Linked DNA regions of Drosophila melanogaster. The protein of the gene in region 1 interacts with the protein of each later gene in a pairwise test. Each region holds a gene or a part of one and is shown on either strand. Other genes may lie near its edges.

Region 1 (8,013 bases):
TTTCCCTTATTTTGGCCACGTTTTCACGCTCCTGGTACGTGCTCATAAAGACAACTCTGTGCCGCCGAATCGATCATAAGTTCGCTTCATTGTGCTCGAGACTCACACACACACACTTGTTTGCAGTTGCAGCCCGAAAAGCAGCAGAGGAAAACGGGTAACTTTTCCATAAGCTGTGCAACTTTTTGCCGGCTTTCCCGCTTTTCTTTCTTTATTGTCTTTTCAACTGTTTTGTCGTGCGGCAGAGGAGCAGAATAAATAGGGTAGATCCCCCATTATATTTAATTTGCCTGGCATACGCTTTGTCAATATCGCACTCTTTCCTCTCTCTCCAACCAACCCTTTTGGCCCAAAAATTCCAGCATGGCCCAAAGCGATGCCAACTTCCTGGGCACGCACACAAGCTCACAAAAAGACAGACAAACATGCAGATAAACGCGTACGTATGCACATATACAAGGGATGCATGCAAAGAGTTGTTGTTGACAATGTTCAGTCATTCTTCAGCAAATTAGTCATGAAATTGTGCATTTCTATTTGTCTCTCGCCCAAATTGCTAAATTTGTAAATAAAAATTGGCTGCCGGCGATTAATCAGCAATATATATATATATAAGTGTCAATGTGGAAAATCGAATTGAAAAATGATAGAGCAAATTTTAGGAAACAAATCAATTCATTTGGAAAGGGATAAGCGTTGAAAGTTTTGGCCCGACAATGTAGTTTTAATTATAATGAGAATTGAATAAGACAAATATTTATGTAAATTTATATTAAAAATACATTTTCCCTGCATGGATTGACTGAAATTAATACAATATTCGCATGGCAACTTTGATTTTGCCAAGGTGAGAGCAGCATATGTATATCACAAATTTTACAACGCCCAACTATAAATCATAGATTGATTACAGACTTACAATCCAAGCAAACAATAAAGTGGCAAAGAAAGGCATTTGAAAGAAACCCGTTAGCAATTAACCGATTCTTCCTTCCGCACCTTCGAGCGGGGAAAACTCCCGCTTTTCATTTGGGGAATACCTTTTGGTAAACTAAAGCCCCCAGCGCGATAAAGCTTTTGTGTCCTATGGCCAGTCCTTTTTTCGCAACGTTTCAGTTACTGCAAAAATGTTCAGTTGGTCGCTCGGACGCTTTTTTGTTGACCAGGTAGCAAAGCAAAAAGCCAAAATGAAACGATGTTATGAATATGAATGAGAGACGGAGGAGCTAGCCCTTCTCTGCGATTCCCATTGCAATTACCATAGGTAGAAAAAGAGTTGAAAATTATGTATGTCATGGGCGGGAGTGGGTGGTATGAATTGGATTGCCAAAAAACCAAAAGGAATAGATATAGGTGCAGTAGTCACAGTTCGCAGTAACAGTCACTGTCCGACGAGTCACATTTAGAAGCGGCAAACTGGGCAAACACTGCACGTATTTAATTCAATGCCTGGATCTTTTTTGTGACCATACCAGATGGCATATATGTATGTAGATATATGTATGTACAAAATATAGCATAGAACATGCCTCAATTGGTGGCCATTAAAATGCATAAATGCTGGACCGCTTTTTGTTCGCTCCTAGATGAGGCAGTCATAACTAAATACGTCACGACTGCAGCTCCTTTTGGCCATTTGAATTACTGTGAATGGTTTTTGGATGCAATGCCTTATTTACATGCTGCACATGTTGCAGTTCGTGTCTCCTTCATCCCTTTTTTATATCCTTGCACAAAGAGCGTCCATAAAATTGAATGGGAAGTTTGCAAAGGAAATTGTGGTTGATTTTTATGTGGGTTCTGGTCATATACATATATAGTTCCGAAAGTGGAGTATGCCATGGAGAGTTTATTTTTATTTAAAAAAAAGCGGATAGTTATCTCAAGGGGTAGTAATTTAAAGTTTAAGTACATTTGGAGAGTATCCAGAAACAGTGGCGATAAATAAATCGTTTGGCAATATTCGCATGTTAATAAACACTATTACCACAAGAAATTCAATTCCCATAGAATATTGTTAAATACTATTGAGACTCTTGTCCTTTTTTGCACGCTTAAGCGTATCCTTTGGGTCGGATAGTTAAATTTCCGGCCCATGCCCGTCTGAAAAAACGGTCCATGGTGCCATGGCCGGAGCTGCATTAAACATTTATAATTGCAAGACAACAGCCAGCCGGCAGTCAACTGATGCGATGTCTGCGATGCGTCAGTCCTATAAAAATGTAAAAGTATTCAGTGTGAAGTGGCAAAGCCCTGCTAGAAAAAGACGGCAACTGGACAGCGGAAAGAGATAGGGAGAAGGGTTGAACCTGCAGTGGATTTCCTGGTGTACTTTATTTTGGTTTTTTGTGTGCAGTTTTTGCATTTACATTTTCGTAAACCTTTGAAAGGTTCCAGGCAGGCTTAGCAACTGAATAAAACGCGGCTGTCTTAAAGTCACGTCATGTGGGTGGTTCTGTGGGGGGGGGGGTGGCTTTACCATTGGGCGGTTGAATCTGCCGAGGGGCTGTGGCAGTAATGAGGCAACTGCAAAAGCAACAGCTTCATGTGCCGTGTGTTGTGTTAATGTTGTTAGGCTTTGGCATAAACCAGCATCTTCTTTTCAGCTAATGAGAAATCTGTCTCAGTTTCCCCAGCTAGCTCTGCACCCATATATCCTTCTCGCTCTTCAAGGACGTAATAAGAGGGTACAATATAATAAGCACGGCTGAAACATTGAAGGATTTTAATTAAATAGAACCGACAGCGTTTTTGGGCCTTGATGATGGCATAGAATTTATATCCGCATTCGTACGTGGTACAAAGAGATGAAAGTAATGCTCAAGTGGATGCTGATGTTGTCTCCTAATTTCAAGGATGCATGCTGGCACAAGATGCGGCACTTAGAATAAATTAAAAAAGGAGCCAAATAAAGACTAATTACAGTGGAGCGAATATTGAGACGTATTACCATCTACAAGGTTTTTTTTAGATTCTACATTATTGGGGGCCAATGCTAAAATATGGAAACTAGTATTGATATAGTACAAAATTATATTCCAAGGCAAAATACATTTCAAAAACACATTATTGATCACAAGTCGGTTCCAATAAAGTACAACTATTAAACAGTCTAATACTGTCATAAAACCAAGCAAACCTCTTATGGGCACACAAAGCTATCAAACCCTATCACGTATGAACACAAAACCAAAGAAAATCCATTAAAACAGCTACTAAACCGATTAATTAAAATAAACGATCCGTGAATCATCTGCGGCGAAGATCTTTCGGGCAAGCCCAATTTGGTTGGACTCACCATAGAAGACCAAAGTGTAATTGACCTTTTCAACCTGTGCTGGCGCATGGCAAATGCCAGCTGTACCCCAAGATGCGAAAGGTCACACTTGGCACGGACACAGATTCAAAACAGCTTCGGTCACACTCTGAGCATGCGCAGTTGGAGCTATGGACCAAACCGGGTCAACCGCCAAAAGAGGAGGAACTATCAATTTCATGGATATTATGACAGGGAACTTTTCACTCAATCATCACTTTCATAAAGACAACACTTTCCACAGCCCCGCGGGGCGATGTCTTCTCATCAATCAAGTTTGCCGTTCAACAATGATATTTTTATACAGCTCGAGGTGAGAACACGTTTTTGGGTAGCATCTTTTTATTCATATACATAGGTATCTGAGAGTAAGCTAAACTTTTTCACACATTTGCGCGGGTCTTAAACGAGCGCGTGATATCATCTCATGAGCGCGACTTTGGCTTTACTTTCCTCTGAGCCGTTGTTTATTCTTACCTGTTAAGATGGCTGCGAGACATATAAAAACGATCCGTGACATGATTTTGCTGCTGACTTCCTTTGGCTTCGCGTATTTTTTCTACTGAGCGTGAGCGTATAAGTAATCCCGGTTTTGTTTTTTTGGGTTTCCTTATATGTGTGTATGAATTTTTTTTCTTGGTGTCACTCAGGCGTTTGGTTGCACTTGCTTTAGCTTTTCATGCATAAAATATACGGCCAAGTACGTTTTGGTGGCACTTTACGGCCGCTGAGGCTCTGGTTTATATTTTTTATGTGACGTGTGGGTGTGTGTGTGTGTTTTGGGGTGTGCAGTGTGTGTTTGGATGCTTTTTTAACTCCTCGCTATTATTTGTTATTTTCAAGGGGTATATCCGATCGGTTGGTTTGCGCTAATCGAAGATTATGCCACACTTGTAAACACACACGGTGGGCCAAATGCCAGTGGCAGCGATAGTGCTCAATGGCCGGCTAACGCACACGGACGCAGGTTTATACGATTCCGACACGAATAACGATATCAAATCCCGAAATGCCGAACCCAAAATGCCGAACGACCGATGTGCCCACGCAATCCAAGAGCGACAGAGAACGACTGATAGGAGCAACAGTTACCAAACGACTGAATCCGCTCCGTGTTTATAAAGTTGCCAACATGGGCAGCGCAGCGGCCGCGACGTCGGCGCCAGCTGCGGCAGCGACAGCGGCAGCATGCTGCGAACACCAGGCGTATGCGTTTTTACATATGCAGTCGCTGGGGTTGCATGTTGCCGCTGGATGTTGCTGGCGTTTGTCGATGTTGCGGCTGCATGTTGCTGCCGCTACATGCGCGACGAGCTAGCAGCATTGCTCGTTCTAGTTTACGCTTTACAGCGACTGTGTGTACAGGGTACTTTTAAATTACGGGGGTATATGGACTTGAACACACTACCTAAAAATAATGGTTTCAATTTATAGCAGCTGCAGTTTTTTATAATTTATTTTTACAATTATTATTTAGGTCACAGGGAATTGGGTGGGTGCTAGGAATTTATAATCTTTTAATCAACGTTTACCTAGCAAAACAGTCTTTGCAGTGTGCTCCACTAATAAATATGTATTTTGTTGCTTATAATTTAAAATGTAAAGTGAATTGTTGAAAATAACAAACTCATTAGAGCTTAGCCTGCATCTCCGGTTTTGATGACACATCTATTTAGGTGGAAAAATTTAGGTGACTAACGTGTTCTATTTTCCTTTGCGTCATAACTGGAGTTCAAATAAAGTTTCTTAGCATGGTGCTAATTTAAATATTATGAGTATGGGTTTGTACAGTATTTATTTACCTAATATCTACAAGTTAGAAGCCGTTAATAGGTCGTATTTGACCCACAAATGGATTGATTTATTCCTAATACCATTTTTTAATATCTAATGTTAAATAGATGAAAAGTACATTTAACAGTAGAATCAATGGCCCAAAGTTCCGAAAGCATGTTTTTTTTTAAACCGCGTGATAATTTGCTACGACCCAATTGGTTAAGGTTAGGCAAATCAATAAATATAAATTAGATGGACAAAGAAACATTATTTCGGATCGACATAAACATGTGTTGCAAGTAAATAGAATTTAAACGGGCACTCCATACAGTGTAATACTTTCTGCCGCCGCTGTTCTTGTTGTTTAGTTTGATTTGAATTTGTTTGGCTCTTGTGCATTGTGTTGTTGCAGCTTTCGCTCTTGTTGTTATTGCTGGTATTGTTGGTGTTGTTGTTGATTTGGCCAAGTTTGCTTTCAGGCTGTCGCCGTTGCTGCTGCAACTGCCGGATTTCTGTCTATTTGTCGTTTGATAATCTACCCCCTTGCCGGCCGCCTCCTTGGATTTCGCCGGCTTTTGTTTGCCTGTCGTGTTGTCGAATGGCACACATACAAATTCCGACCGAGAGCGAATCTTTGGCACAGTGGCTCCTCGTTCTGGTTGCCGATTCCCGTTCCCAGTTTCCCGCTCCCTCTTCCGCAAATATTCCGCTGTGTTTGCCACAGTTCCAGATCCCCAGAATCGCCCGCAATGGGACTGTGACCTGAAACCCACTTCGATTAGAATGATGTAAACGCAGGCTCGATTTATGGCGAGAACAGTAAATAGTAAGCTACGCAGTACTTAGGAAGTTTGTAATGGCTACCAAATAGAGCGATCGTACAGCTTACATAATAATTATAGAGCCTTACATATTGCTTTAACTAAATTATTGTACGAAATTACTTGTGTATCAATATTGAGATACAGTGTACTGTACCTGTGGAACTCTGAAATGCCGCATCGCCGGACAACTATAAGCTTGGAAATATTTAAAGTGACCCGTATTTTCGCACCCTCACCCTGTGCGATTTCCATTTTCGATTCATTGCCCCATAATGTATTTACTTCTGCATTATTACACTTGCCATCGTGCACTCCCTGTTTGCCCCCGAAAACCAGGCAGCAAATAGTATTATCAAACATTTTAAATTTAATCAAAGCACACACATTCAATAAGCCTGGGGCCATATTTGGACTATGAAAAGGTAAGCCATGAAAAATGCATAGAAATTGCACACCCTATTGGATGAAAATAGGGTCGCGTGGACTAGAGAAATATAGCTGCATAAATGTTGATGTTTTCGAACTGTCATCTTTAAAAATATTATTTTTTCTAATTTTTATTTTGGTGCAAATGCCGTGGTAATCTGACCATCGTAGCCAAATTTGCAACACATTAAATATTTTCGTGGAGTTAGAGCATTTCAGTATGCGAAGTTTCCCTTTATTTAGTTTCAACTTAAATTTTTCCACTAATATTTTTGTTTGTTAGGTTTGCATTTAGCATGCAATAAAAATATCGCATGCTATAAGGTTTGTGATTTCAGGGCGCACACGACTGGAAACTGTATATTCCGGCTATGTGCCCGTGTCCATGGGCGGGCTTAAGGGGGATGAATGGTGGGATCGGTTGGGGATGATAGCCAGAGGGGTAGGGAACCAAGCTGCTGAGAGCAGCCAGCATGTGTTTATTGCCAGCACAAAATGATGATTATACGTAATGTGTAATGGTCAGAATGGCGAAAGAAGGAGTCGAAGGCGGTGGCGGGAAGGGACGGGACGGGATTCGGTGGCGTAGCTTTTCCGTAGCACTGAGTGCGGCGTGTAAAGCCCCGGAAAAGCAGCCGGAATAGCATCAAGCAGACGGCAAAAACAAACAGGAGGCATCTCCCGCCCGCCAGTGGCACATCCTTGGTCTCCTTGCCATTTTCCTGCTCCTGTTAGTCCTTCTGCTCCAGAAACACTCTATTCTCCACATGTGATGGCTGCATCACAACGGCGATGGCCCAAAGCAGCCAGCAACATAGAACATTTTTGAGGCTTGCATTCAATTTTTGCTTTGCATGCCATTTTACTTGGCCTAGCTCTTCATTTTTCGGCCTGCTAACTATCTACTTGGAAAAGTTTTCCCCACTAAAAAACATGCATTTAAAGATGTGTAAATAATATTTAGGAAATTAATAATCTTTAAGTTATATATGTTTATATGTTAAAAAACCGCTTTTATTAATTAACAAAAACATGTTGCATATCCAAAATGACAAGTTCTTACATTTGAAATTCTCCCACACCTGTCAAGCTGGAAATGAATCTCATTACGAGTATAATATCATTGCAAGTCATTTCCATGACACTTCACTCCATAAAAAAAAAATAATAAATAAAGTCCGCAAAACCAGAACCGAACCAAAAACAATATGGGAAGAGTTTATTGAAATGAGAAGCGCTTAGAAGTCCAAAAGTGGAAAATGTGGGCGTCGAAAGGTGTGGGCGTTATGGAAAACATGTAAAGCCAAAGAGCCAGGGGAGCTTTTCTATATGAAGTTACCCGAAAACATGTAAATTAAGCATCCAGGGTTGGGGGTAAAAAAATGTTAGTAGGTGCGGATGAGCGAGTGAGAGACCTTGCATTACAATTGAGTTACGTTTCAGCTGTGTTGCCTTTATTGCAGTAACCAGTGCGAAATGGGGGGCAGAGTCCTGAGGGTTCTTTAAAGAGGGGAGGGGGCGGTAAGTTCGGAGTTGTTTGTAGGAGAGCCATGTTCATATTGTGCGAAACAATGAATTTATACTCGTAGCGCTCGTTGCACAGTGTTTTTTTTGTGTTGAGTTATATTTCTGGGTTTTACATAAACATCTAGGAACAAAAAAAAAAATAAA
Region 2 (6,780 bases), on another chromosome or scaffold:
GCAGCAGCAGCAGCAGCAGCAGCCAGCGTATATTAGCTATATATGGCTATATCCACGAGTTTCCCCTCTTTTTTATTTTTGCCCTGGGGTTAAGTGGCCTGGCTTTCCGGTGGGTGGGAAAGTGGTAGGTAAAATCAAAAATGCCCCAAAATGTCGGGCACTTTTGAAATTTCCTACGCAATTTCCGTTGTCAACACCTTGACAGCTGTCAGACGCACACACAGACACTCTCGACACTCTTGCACACTTACACACGCACACCCGCACACCACACACTCAAAGGCACTTGTCAGTTCGATTTTTCGCCTGCCATGTTTGTTTTTGCTCTTTTTTGCCTAACGGAAACGGAAATTGTTAGGCTTAATAGACAATTCGCATTTCCTCTTCCTTTGAAGTCCTGTATTCAGCAGCCCGCTTCAGTCCGCACAATTGCACAAATCAGTGCTCCTGCTGCTGTTTCTGTCTACTTTGCGTCCGTTGATGGAATCTGAATCTGAATTACAATAATTGTAATATTTAACATCTCAATGGCCAGCCAGATCCTTTGCTCCTCTAATGAGGCGTCACCGAAGGACATGCATAATCAATGAAGGACCAAACGGACGAATGAATCGCTCAATGAGCGACTGAATGAGTGAATACCCAAATAAGCGAGCGTTTCGAAGGCGTAGGATGCAGATTATGAGGATGGATTAATTAATTAAGCATTATTTAGCCAGTGAAACCGATTTCATCTTTAAATCTATTTGAATGTTTTGCAAATTATTAAGATATTCGCATCTCTTCTTTGTATAATTATTAATAATTTGCGCTATTCTTAAACTTTCTTTATAGATACTGCGTGGAATTCGAGGTAATAAAATCATCTAAAGCCTGCAACAAGTTGCCGCCATATAACCTGATGACAGAAGGTAAGAAAAATCAAAGTAACTAAAGTAGTATTTAATATTTATGCAATCAAATGTGTAAAATAATATTTTGACTGTCTTGTGTTTTATTTTCCAGGCGATCGCATCACGGTGCGCTGTGACCTTGAGGCATTGATCCAAGACTCAGCCGGCAGCTCCACCACCGCCAGGACACCACAAGGACCCACTACGCCGTCCACGACCACAGTTTCATCCGCAGCCTCTGCCTTTGGCCAGCGTACGGATGACCTTGAGGAGGAGCGACTGCAGCGTGAGACCAGCAGCGAAGAGGAGGCGACCAATCAGGATGGCGAGGCGGAGGAGGAGGATGAGGAGCCGGAGCAGGATGAGCAGGATGACCTGCAGAATGCCCTGGACTCGGACAGCAACGAGAGTACCGACTACCGTCACCAGCGGCAGTCGCAGATGTCGCAAATGTCGCACAGCCGCCGGACAGCGGGAAAGCGCAGCGCTGTGCCGGCCACGCCCTCGCCCACGCTGCCGCCCACCTACCATTGCCGGGGGGAGGGGCTGGCCGGACGCACGACACGTTGGAGCGCGCTGCCGGCGCCGTCGTGCCGCGGCAAATGGCTCCGTCTGACCGTCGGTCCGCCCAAGAAGTGCGGCCACGCCCAGTTCATCTTCGTCTAAGGCGACGTGGTCATGCCGCCCACTCAAGTTGCGGTGTCCATTTTTTTTTTTCTCCGTGTAGGTTATGGTGTACGGTCTCCCCCACTCATCATATCATATCATATCACCCGCGCCCCTGCCACGCCCCCTCACTTCCGGCCCAAAATCAATAAAGTACCCCATCGTATGTAAGCGTTTAAACATTAAGCCAGTGGATTAAGAAGATCATAGCATATGTATGTATATGTATGTGTGATGAGGTCAGGATTTTTTTTTTTGTTTGTCTCGCTAGAGAAGAGAACCGGAAATAAAGGATACACTGCCAGTGAAATATAGGGTATATATGGAGGAATATCACATATTTCTGAAGTTTTCGAGGGGTTCTACAATTTCGGACTACTAACTTCTGCTCTCTTAGATACTTTATAAATTTAAAAAAAAACTTCCAAAGACTTATGATCTCCTCCACACACATGATATTCATCATATAACCATATTGATATCACGGCTGCTGTGGACTTCCTTCGGTTAGCATTTCTCTAATTAGTTAAGGAAACACTCGCGTGTAAGCATTTGGGCTCAGGACCCAATCAACAACTCAATATAAATGCTGGGGGTCTGTGAAGACGCTCGGATCTCGGATCGGATAATACTAGAAACTAGAGACTAAGTCATCAAATACCGCATAACATCTACAGTGAAAATGGAGTCGAGCTGCGTAGTGAAAGAACCTATATATACATGTATGTGGATGTGCACGAGTGTATCTGTCTAATCGTTAGTTCCCCCCGACTCGCAAGCATATAGCACACACACGTTCTACACATAACATAACATATATGATACATTTGTCAAAAGCAAATGATTAAGGCCCACAATTTTTGGTTACCCAACTGGCAGACAACCCTCTGGAGTCGGAATTAACGTTTGGATCTTAGTATTAATCTGGATTTTAGGTACACACGAATGTCGAAATAATTATTATAATTATAATTAAACCAATAATGAGATCATTCAATAAAGAACGAGTATAATTTTAAAGTAAACCAATGTTGTCTTTGAACATTTACCAATCTAGAGTCTTGAGCCATCCTGGTTTATCTACAACTTGTTTGGTGACTCGATCGTCAGTGCTGCACAGTGGGTCGAAAGTAATTGTAAAATAAAATAAAATAAATAGTTTTTGGGCATATAAAAAGAAACATTTAATAGTTAATGCTATTAAAGCATTTAATAGATTGGATATGTAGGCATATAGATCTTTATAGTATAATTACATTATTAATTTAAAATTGTTTCAGATTTTATTTATTTCCTGATTTTGTGGTACAAGTTTTCCTAGTTTTCTTCTTTTTCAAAGTGTAGAGTGGTCCATAAAAACCATATCTGGACCCACTGTGCTTGAGTACTCAGCTGTTTTGGGTTTACCGGTTGACCCAATTACCACCAATGGTCGGTTAGGTGCCTTTCAGCGCTCTTTCTCTGGCTTTGCCTCTCGGCTTCGAGGCTTGAGTTCACGGTGAAGGCCAGAAGAATGACAGAGAGAAGAGCGAAGACTTGACTTGACTTGACTTAAAGAAAGAGTCGAGAATCGGCCAGAGGCAGCTGGTCCGACGAGGCGGCTACTTGATTAGTCCCAAAGCGATCGCAGACCGAGACGGACCGACGACAAGAAGCTGCAGTCTTAACCGTTAAAAGTAATTCTTTTGCATTTGCATTCTTCAAGTTTCATTTCTTCTCGCCAGTGGTGATTCATCAAGAAATCGGTTGTTTGGTTGTCGGGTTCTCTGTCGGCGGTGTGATTCCCGTTCTTTTTGGTTCGGCCGCGAAGAAAGTTGTCTTCAAACATGTTAATTGCGACGAGGGGCCGTGGGCCGTCGATTTCTTTTAACGGTCTAAGTTTGGCCAAACGAAAACACTTTTCGTTTAAGCCGATAATCGAAAACATCTAGACATTTGACAAGGCCTACACTTAGGTTTTCTTTATTCAGTCATAAAGTTCAGCACATTAAGTTGGTTTAAAGTCTAAGAAACTTTTTTTGTGAAGAGGTCGTTAGATCCGACTTAGATGATCTTGCTTTTTATGTACACATAAAAGCCATTATTTGCAGGGAATTTTAACGGAGTAGTCAAACGTATAATATTAATAATATTATATTTATTAATAGAAACAACAAACACTTATTATATTATTATTAAATCGGACTTAGATATGTTGTCAGACAAAAAGGCGGCTCTCCTGCTGGTGACCGCGATTACCGCCCTCAAATTGGAGGAAATGAATGCCTATAGACGCAACTTCGATGCGCGGCAAAGTAGTAATTCGAATATTCCACTCTGGAAACAGCGAGTAAGTTGGAGAACCTAACGTTCATAATTTTCTCGAACCAATTCCGAAAATATTCGATTACCTAAGGCCTGTGAGAAATCACAGAAACAGCGGCAAAATGCACACTATGTTTGCGATGAAAAAGGTGACTTCAAGTGCCTTCCTGGGTGGCAGGGTGATCTTTGCCAGGTGCCTATGTGTCGAAGGGGCTGTGACCCGATGAATGGTATGTTTACTCCTTCAGATGATTCCCTATCTTGTGACCCCTGAACTCACATTCACACAGGTTATTGCCAGCGACCCGGTGAATGCAGGTGTCGCATCGGATACAGCGGCGAACTCTGCGACAAGTGCATTCCGCTTCCAGGTTGCCAACATGGCGGATGCACCAAGCCATTCGAGTGCATCTGTAAGCCTGGCTGGGCGGGACTCTTCTGCACGGAACGTAAGTAGTTACCGGAAAAGGATAAGCCTGATTACAATCTTACATTTAAAGAACGGAGCATTTAGAGAAGGAGTTAAAACATAGGGAACTAATATCGTTTTGGGGGTTGTACTTGTTATATGACATTTCCAATCAAATCAAACATTCCTAACTCTGTCCAATCCGATTACTCAATTGCCTGTTTCCTCCAATCCGCGCGCAACCAAAGCAAGTTGCCGTACCGGATGCCACAGCACCCGTGGATATTGCGAAGCGCCTGGGGAGTGCCGCTGCCGGATTGGTTATGCTGGACGCACCTGCTCCGAATGCGCCACGATGCCGGGCTGTCAGCACGGCACCTGCAACAAGCCACTGGAATGCCTCTGCCTACCCGGATATACCGGACTACTTTGCCAGACGCGTAAGTCCTGCAACCACCAAAGGAATCCGCCATTCACCCTACTAATCCCAAACTCCATTCCGCCATTCCAGCAATCTGTGACCCAGATTGCAGCAAGCAGCACGGATATTGCCGCAAACCTGGCGAGTGCCGGTAAGTAGGAGCAGCATTTCAATAAAGAAAATGCAGAAAATGTGGTTTCGGCAAGCTGGAGTGCCCCTTTTCGGATAAGTCAACTATTTTTATCCTTAATTTAACATTCCCAAGCATTATGGCTCAGTTAGCTAACAGCAAACTAACAGCAAAACGAACCCATATCTGTCATCAATTTTCACGGACATCCCCTTCTTCTCCAGCTGCAAGGTGGGCTGGACGGGTAGCCAGTGCGACAAGTGCTTCCCGTATCCGGGATGTGCCAATGGGGATTGCGAGGCGCCATGGGAGTGCAACTGCCATCCCGGCTGGGGCGGAATGCTGTGCGACGAGAGTGAGTATATCCGTATATGTGACCATGCCAACGGGAAATTGACCGAGTTGACCCACAGAGCTCACCTACTGCGTGGAGCATCCGGATACGTGCGAAAACGGGGGCAAGTGCACATCGCTGAGTCGCGAGGATGGGAGCTACCAGTGCCAGTGCCGGCAGGGATTTCTGGGCAAGAACTGCGAGATACGCGATGACTTTCTGCTGACCTCAGAGGCGCCACCGCGAATCACACCGCCCACACCCGCTGAGCTCGTACTGGAACTAGATGGCGAACTGGACCAGAACGGGCAGCAGGACATCGGTGCAGGTGTGCCCGATGACAGCGAGCCAGGAGGCGGGCTGGTTGGAGAAAAGTTGCCAGCGGGTAACGAGCCGGAGCGGCGGAAAAATGACACGGTAGCCAACGTGGCAACCGCAGGAACTGGAGCTGGAGCAGGACCCATGAATTCACTACCCGGCAACAGCAACGCCACAAGGACGACATTGGTGGTGGCAACTGAAACTGGCAGCGACAATGCGACTAATGAAGCGTTAAGCGCCGTTACAACGAGGCGTGCCACCCCGATTCCCCTCACATCTGGCGAAAAAACCGTAAAGGGTAATGCAACAAGCGTGTCGGTAGCGACAGGACCTCAGCCACGCCCCCCGCTGCCCATCGTCGCTAGCCAGGAGCAAACAATAGCAAATTTGGCGCCAGCTGGAACAGTAACAGTAACAGCAACAACAGCACCAACGGCTACAACAGCCGCAACATCCGTGACCAGCCACAAGGATAAGCCAAATGTGGCAGACGAGGAGGAGGACGAAGATGACGACGATGATGAGGAGGATGAGGATGGCGAGTACGATGAGGAGGAGGATGAGGACGAGGACGACGAGGAGGATGACAGCGATCAACTCATACCAAATATTATATAGTTAAGAACCTGACAAATGACAAGTAATCCCTCTTATATATATATACACATTGTTCAGTTAAGGGCCCACATATGCAGCATCTCAAAGCAATTTTTTTTTTTTTCTGAATATTTATTATTAACTAATGAATGAAACATCCAATTAAAAAACTCCATCCATTGCGATAGATATACATATATAAATTGTATTTATTTATGATAATTTTAGGGATTAAGCTAAGCAATTTTCGATTTAACAAATGTCAAAAAAAAAAAATGATATTATTAAAGTTTGCTAATCTTAAGTGCTACAAGAAATCGTTGAATCGAAATATGAATAGGGGACCAGAGGATTGGACTCAGAGCCTGTGGGAGTTCAATTCCTGCACTCGGATTGCACTTGGTTCGCTTAAACTTAAGACAAATGGGGGACTACGAGCTCGGGTTTGAATGGGGATCTATATGGCCATCTTAGCGCCACCGAGTTGGGGGTAGTACGATTGGATTGGGTATCGAAAATTGGAATATGGAAACCAGCACATCATAGACATCTAAACATACATATGGACTCTTGCATATGGGCGTTAATAAATATATGTAGTAACTGGTATGGGAGACTTACGAATCGACAAAAAAATATGTAGAAGTATGGGAGAGAGAGAGAATGACTCAATACAATATCGATACGAATAATAATAATAATAAT

Evidence for each region. Proteins that work in one complex are often made in the same cells at the same time.
Region 2: the proteins of Fas3 (region 1) and C901 interact in a two-hybrid assay, tested with the Drosophila melanogaster proteins (one large-scale study listed by BioGRID).

The regions. Positions count from the first base shown.
Region 1 is NT_033779.5:18,316,511-18,324,523, reverse strand, and holds the start of Fas3 (fasciclin 3), read right to left. Parts: upstream 4,423-8,013; 5' UTR 3,837-4,422; coding exon 3,794-3,836; intron 1-3,793. UniProt on the Drosophila melanogaster protein: Mediates cell adhesion in a Ca(2+)-independent manner. It plays a role in axon outgrowth, guidance and fasciculation of the developing nervous system. Function in neurons is essential for adult survival, and is important for climbing behavior and activity.
Region 2 is NC_004354.4:10,963,523-10,970,302, reverse strand, and holds C901 (C901), read left to right. Parts: upstream 1-3,168; 5' UTR 3,169-3,235; intron 3,236-3,748; 5' UTR 3,749-3,750; coding exon 3,751-3,888; intron 3,889-3,954; coding exon 3,955-4,093; intron 4,094-4,153; coding exon 4,154-4,312; intron 4,313-4,520; coding exon 4,521-4,712; intron 4,713-4,783; coding exon 4,784-4,844; intron 4,845-5,047; coding exon 5,048-5,178; intron 5,179-5,236; coding exon 5,237-6,096; 3' UTR 6,097-6,271; downstream 6,272-6,780. Other genes in the region: vex (vexed), read left to right, coding at 835-911, 1,006-1,559.